Neodiprion lecontei: one gene and its partner. Each later gene encodes a partner of the first gene's protein in a complex. Links are inferred from orthologs where the notes say so. Each region holds a gene or a part of one and is shown in the gene's direction. Other genes may lie near its edges.

Evidence for each region.
Region 2: E3 ubiquitin-protein ligase listerin (region 1) and nuclear export mediator factor NEMF homolog share a complex: the UniProt entries of both Drosophila melanogaster proteins name them as parts of the ribosome quality control complex. The link is inferred for Neodiprion lecontei from reciprocal best matches to the Drosophila melanogaster genes Ltn1 and Clbn.

The regions. Positions count from the first base shown.
Region 1 is NC_060260.1:8,073,504-8,079,257, reverse strand, and holds the start of E3 ubiquitin-protein ligase listerin, read left to right. Parts: upstream 1-2,164; 5' UTR 2,165-2,314; coding exon 2,315-2,359; intron 2,360-2,744; coding exon 2,745-2,954; intron 2,955-3,010; coding exon 3,011-3,277; intron 3,278-3,346; coding exon 3,347-3,462; intron 3,463-3,547; coding exon 3,548-3,902; intron 3,903-3,982; coding exon 3,983-4,170; intron 4,171-4,250; coding exon 4,251-4,386; intron 4,387-4,513; coding exon 4,514-5,206; intron 5,207-5,307; coding exon 5,308-5,527; intron 5,528-5,611; coding exon 5,612-5,754. UniProt on the Drosophila melanogaster protein: E3 ubiquitin-protein ligase component of the ribosome quality control complex (RQC), a ribosome-associated complex that mediates ubiquitination and extraction of incompletely synthesized nascent chains for proteasomal degradation.
Region 2 is NC_060261.1:7,470,310-7,477,258, reverse strand, and holds nuclear export mediator factor NEMF homolog, read left to right. Parts: upstream 1-2,193; 5' UTR 2,194-2,277; coding exon 2,278-2,333; intron 2,334-2,462; coding exon 2,463-2,634; intron 2,635-2,705; coding exon 2,706-2,908; intron 2,909-3,033; coding exon 3,034-4,124; intron 4,125-4,191; coding exon 4,192-4,372; intron 4,373-4,452; coding exon 4,453-4,754; intron 4,755-4,865; coding exon 4,866-5,064; intron 5,065-5,202; coding exon 5,203-5,512; intron 5,513-5,590; coding exon 5,591-5,856; intron 5,857-5,943; coding exon 5,944-6,142; 3' UTR 6,143-6,282; downstream 6,283-6,949. Other genes in the region: 40S ribosomal protein S16, read left to right, coding at 389-397, 493-537, 682-813, 1,136-1,250, 1,497-1,642; serine/threonine-protein kinase VRK1, read right to left, coding at 6,541-6,810, 6,922-6,949. UniProt on the Drosophila melanogaster protein: Key component of the ribosome quality control complex (RQC), a ribosome-associated complex that mediates the extraction of incompletely synthesized nascent chains from stalled ribosomes as well as their ubiquitin-mediated proteasomal degradation.

The DNA.
Region 1 (5,754 bases):
TGTGTCTCTATTTCGTTAATTACAGTTTTTATTTACCTAATTTTAAGATAAGTATATTTCTGCCTGTATCGACATATGTTACTAATTATATTTTCGTCTGTTCCAGGTAACTGAGTTTTAATGACTATACTGAAAAATTAACGCTTCATTTTTCAGGCTTAGGTATGGCTTAAGTCTAGTTCAGGTCTGGTTCAGAGTCAGTCATCTTTTTTTTCACCGATATATAGATTTAGCGATGTAGTTGGTGGTTACAAAGTGTGGTACAATTTATTGCTGTAGTTTTTTTCTTGAGTCGCTCATAGGTCATGTTCGATTTGTATTTCACTATAGAATTATACAGCTCTGTTGTATTTTGGTGGTTGTGCTTATTCTACTCAGATTCGTTTCCATTTCTTCAAAGATTTCTGCATCGTCTTTCAATAGGTAAATGCCAACGTCTTACAGCGATTCGTGTTTTCAATCTTGGTTTAGTTGTTGATTGTGTTGCGTATTCACCAGGTTCTCCATTTTAATGATCATCTCATACCTCATAGGAAAAAACCCGTGCGCGAACATCCAAAGTCAATTCACGTTCACTTATAAGATAAAAACAATCACCCTTCATCCATAATTAAAACAACCATCTTTCATCTATAATTAAAACAATCATCTTTCATCGATAATAAATAGTCAGCGGGATATACGAAGTGAAAAATTTCGACTGAACTGCGAATATACACGAGTTCAAATTGATTGGGAAAAACAATTTACCATAATTAACATGTGAAAAAAAGTCATGTGCAAGTTTTCGAAGAACGTAAGATCGATCTTGCAAGTATTCTCCGTGGAGTAGGCCTACTGGGGATACCACGTAAAAAAAAACGCGCCGGGTGCTCTACCGCTTGCGGTGGTGTGGAAACGAGCATAAGTGAACTTATTTTCACTGGTGAAATACTAACATATTGTAGTTTTTCAAATGACAATTTTATTCTTGCGTAAATTTAAGCATTGTCAATAAAACTCATGCTTCAATAACATGTAATGCATGTGGAATCGTAATACCGTCGGATTTCTCTAGTTTAGTTAAAGTGAATTCGTAAATTCAAATTTACCTGCGCTTTTTTTTACCTATATGTATATATATATTTCTCCAAAACTGACAATCACCCCACTATTGGATCCCGATGCTGTTCCAATAACTCATCAACGACACATATTTCTTGGATACTTACGAAGCAATTACATGAATTTCTAACAAGTTCCTTGTAATTTTAACATATGTAATGTAACTCATTAACGTTCTACCAATGTCTCCGCTTCACTTCATGAAATTCTTCTACCTAGGTCTGCAAAATTTGTAAATTCTGTTTGCGGAAATCTACAGAAAACTTCGATAGATCAGAATCTTGTCTCAGAAAAAACCAATGGATTATTGGAAGCGGAAAACTCTTGAAGCTTCCGAAAGGTCTTACAACCTTTCGTCTGTATTTTTTTGACAGAGATATTGTAGATAATTGATGAAAATTTGATCATAAAGAATTTGGAAAATCTATCCTTAGGTGATATCCATTCGTGAGTTTCTGATATCCTATATATAGTATTGACTATGTCTCCCATCCTTTGCATCAAGAAGTGGTTTTTCTAACTCTGTTAGCAGTAAACCATGTGCATGTTTATTGCGCATCTATTTAGATAATGTTATTTTTGTTTATCCGGTGGAGTTAGATTGACATTGCCGATTACAAGGACAGAAGTTACATACAAGTACCATTACATATGTCCTTCATAATACCTCCGGCTATTTTCCTATTGTTTATATCAATAACTGGTTTCTAACAGCCAATCGTGTATATCTATGTTGTGCACGGATTCAAATAAAATTATTTTTGTCGATATGACGGAGATGCAGTAAGATTAACATTGCTGAATTGGGTTGAAATGAATCGCCGTAAATGAATTTGCATGGTTGTGGGTTGGCGACGGTGTACGGCTCGGTGGTCGTTTCATAGTCATAATAACATCCGACACTGCATCAACCATCTGGGTACACGTGATGATAATATTAGTCCTGTCGTCTTTACGTACCGACCGTTTACCGACTTGAGTTGCGCGACGCAGAGAGCACTACTGATTGACCGAATTTTAGGGTTGTGAAATGTAAGCTGTTAGTATCTCTACATTTTTTTTATACACTGTGGAGCGATACGTAAGTCACGGACATCACTGGCTGAAATGTGGTTAGAAATTCTTCAAGGGTTGAATTTGTCAAAACATTAATAATATTGAACAGTTTCTATAATACAGTCTGGAAGTTTTATTTTAGAGACTCGTTGAAATGGGAAAAAACAAACAGGCACAACGTACTAAAAATAATGCAAGGGTAAGTGCGTGACAACAAGTTTTATTACAAGCAATCTGCTGTCAGAAAAATATGTTCAATTTTTTTACCGAATAATTCGCTTTGTCACCCGCCTATTTTTTATTCAATTAATACTCACCGAATGTGATATCCACAGGGTTTCACTGACTAGCTGTTTTCTGATATTTTGTTCAATTGTATTATGAGTACATTTGTAACGATGACAGCGTGTGTCGCTGGCTGTTTTAGACAGAGATACCAATCTTCATATCCCTGCCAGAGTCTTTGACTGGCAGCTTATAGATTAATAAATCTAATATTTTGATGTCCAATTTTTTATTTCATCATTTTCTATATCTGTTGATACAAATGGTCTAAAATTGAAGAGTTCAACTATTTATTATAGCCATCAAGTAGCGGTCGCAGTGCAGAGCTGCTCGAAGCCTCAATGCCCAACTTCGTTGGGTTTTCAGGGGCAAAGGATGGAGGATATATTCCCCTCTTACCAAGACTAACGATTAGTACCTTGGACGAAATCGACATGAGTAAACTGGACTCTCACTTTCAACTGCTGTTGAAGAAAATGAATAAAAAAGATGGAACGACAAAATTAAAGGTGAATCCTCGTTGAATTTGTTGGTTCGGTATTTTTATGCTCAGAAAATTTTACAGGCATTGCAGGAGTTTACTGAGCTATGCAACAACTCGACCGCAAAAACTATTCTAGCAGTCCTTCCATTTTGGCCCCGCATATATTGTCTGCTTGCTATTGATGTGGAACATAGAGTTAGAGAAGCTGCGCATGTGGCGCATTTGGCCATTGTTAAACCTGCGGGAAGAAATATCGCTCCGTATTTGAAACAGCTGGCTGGACCGTGGTTTACGTCACAGTATGATACATACGCGCCTGCAGCCTCTGCTGCTACCAATGCTTTCCAGGTATAATAATTAATAACAGCAGGTAAACAATCTTCCAGACCGCAAGTAATTCCCATTTACTTTTTACAGCAAACATTCCCACCAAATAAATTAGCAGACGCAATTGCACACTGTCAGGAAGAAATTTTGACTTACATCTGCGACAATATAACAAATCAAACGCCGCAAACCCTTGGAAATAATAAGTATGCAAAAATACTATGTATTTTTGTGAAGAGGGTAATGTGTCAATGACATATGAAATTTTTTATTAATTTCTTTGATTTTAAGGACAGTTACACCTGAAGAAATGGACATGAGATACCAGAGATTATTGATATCAAGTTTACAAGGATACTCTTTATACTTGAAAACAATTTCTCCTCAGCAAATAGAGAAGGTGGCAAAGATTCACGATAAAATTTTATCACACAATAAGTTCTGGAAATTGGTTAAACATGAAATACCTCTAGTCAGAGCTGGATTCTTCAATGTTCTTGCCTCAATGATTCAACACGCCGAAGAATTGTACAAGAACGAGAAAAAGAAATTGATCACCACCATTATGAACAATCTTGATGAAACAGATCCTGGTGTCTTGCCAGTTGTGTGGGAGGCTGTGCTTCTTGCAATATGTAAAATAGAGGTAATAGAAAGGATGACAATGTACATATTCAGCTGCAGAATTAGCAAATTGATTATTAGAGTTTAATTCATGTTCTCTAGGGTTGGCATACAGTAGTCAGCATTGAAAAGCTCATAATACCTAAGTTGTGGCATGTTTTAAGAGAAGGAGGTAATGGCAGCGCCAATGCAATTTATCCTAATTTGCTGCCCTTCATCAGCCACTTTCCTATACAAAACGAGAACAAGATGAACTTTTACACAAATTTCTTTAATAATTTACGGAAGGGGTAATTGTTCACCTAAGTAAAAGTAATTGGGCAGCAAATAGAAAGTGAAACAAACAAATAATCATAATTATTTCGTACAGCTTTAAAGTCAAGAGCGTTCAACTCAGCTACTCAGAGATGCTGGCAGTGGTCACTGCATTCGTCGAGTGTTTGCGTTATGTGATTCTTTTGAATAATGAGGATGAAATCTTGTGCGAAACTTTACTGAAACAACAGGTAAAATTATTTTTAATACTAACTATTAATAACTCAAGTGATGATCATTAGGAACAATGAAAGTAAGTAAGTGTTAAATTTGGAATACCAAAATTTGTAAAGTATATATTTTATTTTCACGTTCTAGTTGATGCCAACATTGGAATGGTGTTTGGTAGAGATTTCACCAGTGAAACCTTTGATTTTTAAACAAATAAGCCAGCTCATTCGTTATTGGAGTAAAAATCGAAGCGTCGCCGATTACAAGTCGTATGGTCATTTAGTTCAACAATTTTGGTCTACTCTTGAGGAGACACTTTTGAATCTAATTCATTCTACTGAAGCAAATTTTGATTCAGTTCACATTTCAAACTTGTATGACTCATTGCTGGACTTGTTTCTCAGTTTAAAAAATACCACATTAGAGACTCGCAAAAATTTGAGAGTCAAATTTTTTGATTCAAACGACCGAGCAGAAAAAAGCGACGAAGTTTTGCCTAAAGTTCCAGAAGAAGACCTGAAGTATTGTACAGAATTAGCTCAACTAATCAACAAAATAACTTCCGTTCATTTTGATAACATCAATAAAGATTCTTCTGAATCAGCTGTCATGTTAACCTGTTATAAATTAATCACAAACTTTGAAAGCAAAGACCTTTTTATTGCATTGACAAAATCGTGTGGAAAAGATACCAGTTTTCTCGATTTTTACAATAAGACTTTGAGAAAATGGTTGATTGAAAAGCCAGAACAGACGGAGCTATTGATAATGTTATTGTTCAGCCTCATCAAATATTTGGATAAATTGGACAAGAAAACAGTTCTTGCTTCATTATCAGAGGTAGATATTCCGTCCAATAAGTAATTAATTCAAAAATGTCTTGAAAATAAATTTTATGATAAATTGTCCAAACAAATATACAAAGTGCAAACTTACAACAGTTACAGAACGAAAATAAAATAATCCTTAGGCATGCGGTCAAGTGTGCTTTGTTCAAACATAATAGGAAGGATCCTGCAGTAAAAGAGTGGTTTTCACAAGCTGAAGTGTCGTCTGTGTTACTAGATGTGACTAAACAAGTAGCTGTTAATGAAACTACCATCGATTTGGATGTGAACAAAAAAATTCTCATGCAATGTTTCGAGTGTTCTGATAATACCGGTTAGTTACTGTATTAATTATTCTTGTTTTTCATCATTTTCTATAACAGTACATTTAAAAATAATCGCGTCTTTGCATTTTCAGATTTAATTATCAGTGATTCTACATTTGATGACATTGTCTCAATCCTCTGTAAAGGTTTGAATGAACAGAGTCAAGATAATCTCAACTCACTCGTTGAATTGGTTTCTGAGATATCCTCTGCAACTTGGACTCACAACAAACTA
Region 2 (6,949 bases), on another chromosome or scaffold:
TATAATTACGGTAGTATTTTTTTGTAAGTATAGTTGAATTAATAGACTTGAAGTCTTTACTATCCAAATCGCGATAAACCGAAAGCGGAAGCATTGAGTTCACCGAAGTCGGAATGAGCACGGAAGCAACACGACGGTCGGTGGATATAAAAATGATAAATAAACTCACCGTTAATATTGCAAACAAGATCTAGTGATAAACTAATTTCTGAATTCAAATATTGGAATGAATAGATATCTCCAATTTAAAGTTGAATAATTTCGACGCTTCAAGAATATGGAGAAAATTACATTCATTCCATAATGTTGTTGACTAGAGTAGTGCTCTTTTGACGGTGAGGTATTCGAGATACACACTCAACTTCCTTTCCACGAGGAACCCTCCAAAATGCAGAAGGTACTTTGGCGTCACCGAACCGAGTTAATATTTATTTTGAAAAAATTCGAACGTTCAGTAACCGTGCTTTAATAAAAAATATTTCTCTTTTACAGACAAAGAAAGAGCCCATTCATTCCGTGCAGGTCTTCGGCCGCAAGGTAAGCCTGAATGATATTTTACATATTTCACTGGCTCACATGCTCGAAAAAATGGCGACCGCGTTTGGTTAGTCGGCTTTTTGACGTTGAGAAACTCGTTAAACACCTTCCACCCATCCGTAATCATCAATTTATTATCTTTAGAAAAGCGCAACCGCTGTTGCTTATTGCAAACGCGGTCGTGGCAACCTCAGAGTCAATGGACGTCCCTTGGAAATGGTCGAGCCGCGAGTGCTCCAGTACAAACTTCAGGAGCCAATTCTCCTTCTCGGCAAGGTAAGGTTTCGTATTATTTGAACTGTTTATTTTCCATCGTTTCTCACTTTCATTTCCTAAACGTTATATTTTCGACTTCAATGAAGTTTTTTTTTTATTCAATCGACTCACCCGCCTAATCCTAACCTCAAAAATAACCTCATCAAGGCAAATGTGTTGGTTTCTAGCACCTATTTTACAACAGTGATGTTTACTTATTCCGAAAATGATTTTCTGAATGAAATAAAATAAGGAATCTGAGACTTCTAACATTAACTCATGCATTGTACTGTCAAAACACCTACTAACAAATTGATCATAGAAATTATACTTTTTTTCTTAGGAGAAATTCTCAGCCGTCGACATTAGAGTAAGGGTTAATGGAGGTGGACACGTTGCCCAGATCTATGCCATTCGTCAGGCGATTTCTAAAGCTTTAGTTTCGTACTACCAAAAGTGTAAGTATTGATCATGGATTATTATGAATTGTATTCTTTCCATTCTATAAGATGCTAGTCTAATTAATGACCAAGACAGCATATGTTTGTATACATATATAAATTGTGTAATACCATTAATTTTATTACATGGTGTCAAGAAAAATCTTTGTTTCAATTTTTGATTTATGTAATAATTATTGCACCTTTCTTTTGAAGAATCTTGCAACTATTTTCTAGTAAAATGATATATTCTTCCTGTTATAGATGTCGACGAAGCGAGCAAAAAGGAGATCAAAGACATGCTCATTCAATACGACAGAACCCTGCTTGTTGCGGACCCGAGACGCTGTGAGCCGAAGAAGTTTGGTGGACCGGGAGCTCGTGCCCGCTACCAGAAGTCTTACCGTTAAGCACACTTATAACTGTATATGTCATTTTATATTCTATCTGTGAAAGACCGAAATAAATGGTGTGTACAAAAATAATAAATGGATGCCGGAGTCTTCATTTCACTAGATAACTAGCTCTATCATGTTACTTGAATCTAAGACTCTAGATAAATTTTTGGCATGTTTGCTCTTACGTTCTTTATTCCTATATTAAATTTTTTTCGTTTATTCCTATTTCTTCAATTAAACTCAGGAAGAAGTATTTGGAAAAAATATAGTTTTTACCCATGGAACAAAATACTTCTGCAAAATTTGAACTTGTGGCTTCGAAATGTGTGAAAAAATATATTTATTTTTAATATCTGTAACTAAGGAATTTATTTTTCAAGAACAAATACTTTTATAATAATTTTCACTACTCAAGTTTATTGTTAGCATGATGTTGGGTCAAATTTTAGCTTTTACCAATCCTGAGGTACGCCTCTCGATTACTGATGTGTTCACGTATTGCGCGTATGCAGGCAGAGGTATGCATATGTATTGTAGGTTTGCAATAGAGCCCTCAATAGCCGTCCCGTCGTTGTTGACAGACGTGCGGAAATGTGCCAAACATTTCCGAAATTTTCGATACGTCAAATTTATGAGTAAATACAAATATGAAGACTCGATTTAATACGTACGATCTTGTGTGCTCTGTCACAGAGCTGCAAAGGTGGGTAAATTTCAGTGAAATGAAAATAATTTCAAATGAAAATAATTTAAGGTTATATCTCTGTTTTAGTTTTATTCCGATTACAAGTTTTTTAATCACAATGTTCATTCGATTTCATTGAATACTCAGGCTCATCGGGATGCGTGTCAACCAAATTTATGACATAGACAATCGAACTTACCTCATTCGCTTACAGCGTAGCGAAGAGAAAGTCGTTCTTCTTCTGGAGTCAGGAAATCGAATTCACACAACCGCTTTTGAATGGCCCAAAAATGTTGCTCCTTCTGGCTTCAGCATGAAGGTGAAATTCGATTTTTATTGTGCAGTTACACATTATTATTCAAATTCCTAATACTTGGGCAATTTATGTAGATGCGTAAACATTTGAAAAACAAACGTCTCGAGAGCTTGAAGCAGCTGGGAGTTGACCGCATAGTAGATATGCAATTTGGCACAGGAGAAGCAGGGTATCATGTCATTCTGGAATTGTACGATCGTGGGAATATTGTGCTTACCGATAATGAGATGAATATTTTAAACATCTTGAGGCCTCACACCGAGGGAGAGAAAGTAAGGTGTGTTGTGAGATAATGCTAAATGTACTCCAAAGTAAACATTGAACTTCATTACTGAAAGAAGTATCTTTCCTTATAAAATTGTAAAACTCGTATATAATCGGACGATTATAAAACACTCTTAGGTTTGCTGTGAAAGAAAAATATCCATCCGATCGCGCTCGCTTGACGACTATGCCACCAATGGAACAGATCCATGAATGTGTGTTGAGTGGAAAAACTGGAGAGCCATTGAAAAAAATTTTAAACCCACACTTAGAGTTCGGCCCTGCTATTATAGACCATGTTCTATTACAGACAGGTTTCCCAGTCAATTGTAAAATTGGAAAAAATTTCGATGTAGCCAACGATTTTCCAAAATTAGTTCTTGCTCTTGAGGCGGCTGACAAGATTTTTACAGAAGCTATTAAAAGCATAAGCAAGGGTTACATTACACAGAAGAAGGAAGCAAGACCTTCGCAGGATGGAAAAGAAGATTACATTTTTGCAAACGTAGAATTTCATCCCATGCTTTTCGAACAGCACAAAAACCTCCCCTTTAAAGAATTTGAATCATTCGATCGTGCGGTAGACGAATTTTTCTCTGGTCTTGAAGGACAAAAATTGGACTTGAAAGCTTTACAACAGGAACGAGAAGCTATGAAGAAGTTAGACAACGTTCGAAAGGACCATGATCAGAGACTTGTATCCTTAGAAAAGACACAAGAAATGGATAAGCAAAAAGCGGAACTGATTACACGGAATCAAGTTTTAGTGGATAATGCTATTTTAGCGATTCAAAGTGCTCTGGCCAATCAAATGGCTTGGCCAGATATAGAAACGCTTTTGAAGGAAGCTCAAGCCAGAGGAGATCCCGTTGCAGCTGCTATAAAGCACCTGAAATTAGAATCGAATCATATCAGTTTACTTCTGAGCGATCCATATGAAAATAGTGACCAAAGTGATGACGATGAACCTGAGTTAAAACCAATGATTATTGACGTTGACTTAGCTCATTCAGCGTTCGGGAATGCTAGGCGATATTACGATCAAAAACGATCAGCAGCAAAGAAACAGCAAAAGACAATCGAGTCACAAGGAAAAGCACTGAAGTCTGCAGAGAAGAAAACTAAACAGGCATTAAAAGAAGTTCAAACCATACACAGTATCAATAAAGCAAGAAAAGTGTACTGGTTTGAAAAGTTCTACTGGTTCATCAGTTCTGAAAATTATTTGAGTATGTGTTGAAAATTAACATCGTTTTTCAAATAATTTATCCGGTGTTAATGCTAATGTTTTTCCAGTAATCGGTGGCAGAGATCAGCAGCAAAACGAACTAATTGTAAAACGGTACCTTCGACAGGGGGATGTTTATGTTCACGCAGATTTGACTGGGGCCAGTTCCATTGTAGTAAAAAATTCTGGGACTGGTCCAATACCGCCAAAGACTTTGGCAGAGGCAGGGACTATGGCAGTTTCATACAGGTGATACAGCAGTGGAGTAGCAAGTGTCGTGTAAGGGAAAACTTGAAGTAAGAGTGAGCAAAGTACCTTTTTATTTTCAGCGTTGCATGGGAGGCAAAAGTTGTAGCCGGTGCCTGGTGGGTAAACAGTGATCAAGTATCAAAAACAGCACCAACCGGTGAATACCTGACCACAGGATCATTCATGATACGTGGAAAAAAAAATTATTTACCACCATGTCAGCTTGTAATGGGATTGGGTTTTTTATTTCGACTTGAGGAAAGTTCTATCGAGCGTCATAAAGACGAAAGAAAAGTTCGAACTTTGGAAGAAGATATTACATCTGAAACAAATGCATTGTCAGATCACGAGATTGAATTGGAAAGTGATTCTAATGATGAAGGTATTTAATTGGGTATATTTACCTTGTTTTAATGTTAATGTGATAAAATATTGTTTACCCTTAGAGGAGACAATGATAACTTTCGATGCTTTGTTTCAACTTTTCTTACAGAGGAAGATACTGCAACACAGAAAACTCAACTATTACCAATTGCAGAAGGAGAATCCGACGTAACGGAGAAATTAAACGATGCTGATAAATCCAGGTCGGATAAACAAAGTGATATAATAGAAAAAGATAGTGGTAGTGATTCTGACGAAGGACCACACTTTCCCAACACACAGATAAAAATTAATCTGCCTGGTAAAACGTAAGATTCTCAACAGAAATTATTTATAAATCAATTCTAGTATTTTGCCTTGTAGTTATAACTTTGAGAGACACTGAAGATTTTTAGGTTTATTCTTTTATCTTGTTGCACTTATGTTTTATATCTTACTTGCAATAGATTGAAACCTCACTTGAACACAACAAGAGATACAAAACCTCAGAATAAGCTCACAGAACAAGAAGAGAATGTGATTTACCTTGGGGATGGCAAACCCGTTGTATTAACAAATAAACAAGAGAAAGATGGGTCAAAACTGGATCAAGAAAAAAAATTACCCGAAAAACAAGACAACAAAAATGAAAAAGAATCTAAACAAAAAGATCGCGAATTACCTAAAAGAGGACAGAAAGGAAAGTTGAAAAAAATCAAAGAAAAATATAAAGATCAGGATGAAGAAGACAGAAGACGGTTGATGGAGGCATTGAAGGTAAGTACATGATATTTTTCGTGGCTGAGAAGTACAAAAGCTGTTACAAATTGCTAGTTCAGGTCTTTAAATTTACAGCCGGCAGGGGCAGCCAAAGAAGATAAGCGTAAAAATAAAAACAAAGATCCCTCTGGACCAAAACAGCAGGGTAAAAAAAAGGGAACAGCTTATATGCCAAAAGTATCGACAGTAAATCCTTATAACGAAGAAGATGGGGAGGAAGATGTGGGACCAGCTCCGGAAATAGATATGTTGGATCAATTGACTGGCAAGCCAATTGCAGAAGATGAGTTACTATTTGCTGTGCCGATAGTTGCTCCCTATAATACTCTTATTAACTATAAGTACGTGAAATTCAAGTGATTCATAAAATTTTGCTTACCTTAAATGAGCAAAATATGTTTACGTTATCATTATATTTTTTGATACAGATACAAGGTAAAGTTAACTCCAGGAACTGGGAAAAGAGGCAAAGCTGCAAAAACTGCTGTAGCGATGTTTTTGCGAGATAGAGGAACTACGCCTCGAGAAAAGGATCTATTGAAGGCAGTTAAAGATGAAGTTATGGCCAGAAACCTTCCTGGAAAGGTCAAAATCAGTGCTCCGCAAATGCAAAAACTGAAAAAGTAAGGAATCATGTTAATGAAACATCATGATCATTGTATTCAAGTGAGGTGTAGATGGTGGTCAAAACGTGATAGTCGTACCGGTTTTACAGGCTGTATATATGTGTATGCAATTCCGTAAAAAAAAAGATATTTAATTCTAAACAATCTTTGGACGACCTTATTTCAACACTCACCTGATAATTATTTCATAGCTTATTGTACAATGAACATACTGATCAATCGGGAAGATATAACAAAAATGATTCAAAATATTTAATCACAATCATTATCAATACAGGAATAGTAACATAGGGTAGTTGCTGATAGTGAAATAATGTATATATTAGCTGATAACGTCTAAAGGGCGGAAACTTTAAAATGAAAATATTCATTGGAATTAGTACGATGTGGTGAAATTTATTAGGAACACAAGTTAACTCTCCTGTTCCTTGGTGTTTTACTCTTATTTACACTTTTATACTCCCCCGGTTTGATGGTGTTACTACTTTTCACTGTCGGAGCATCTCTCCATGATTTTGCAGGCTTTTTGGACGATGTCTTACATACGTCCTCGTCATCGTCGCCAAACATGTCCTCATCACTGTTGTTTTCGACTAGCGATTCTTCTGATTCAATGAGTTTCTTCTTTGGCTTTGTTAGCACTTTTGGTCGCGATTTAGTTCCCTGTGTCTAAAATTATTAACCTTTAAATGATCGGACCACTGCAGTGTCAAAAATTTAAATATCCATAAAGGAGGCAACGAAAGAAATTAATAGAAGCATAACTTCAATATGTAATACCTTTGTTTCATCATCAGATACTGTTTCA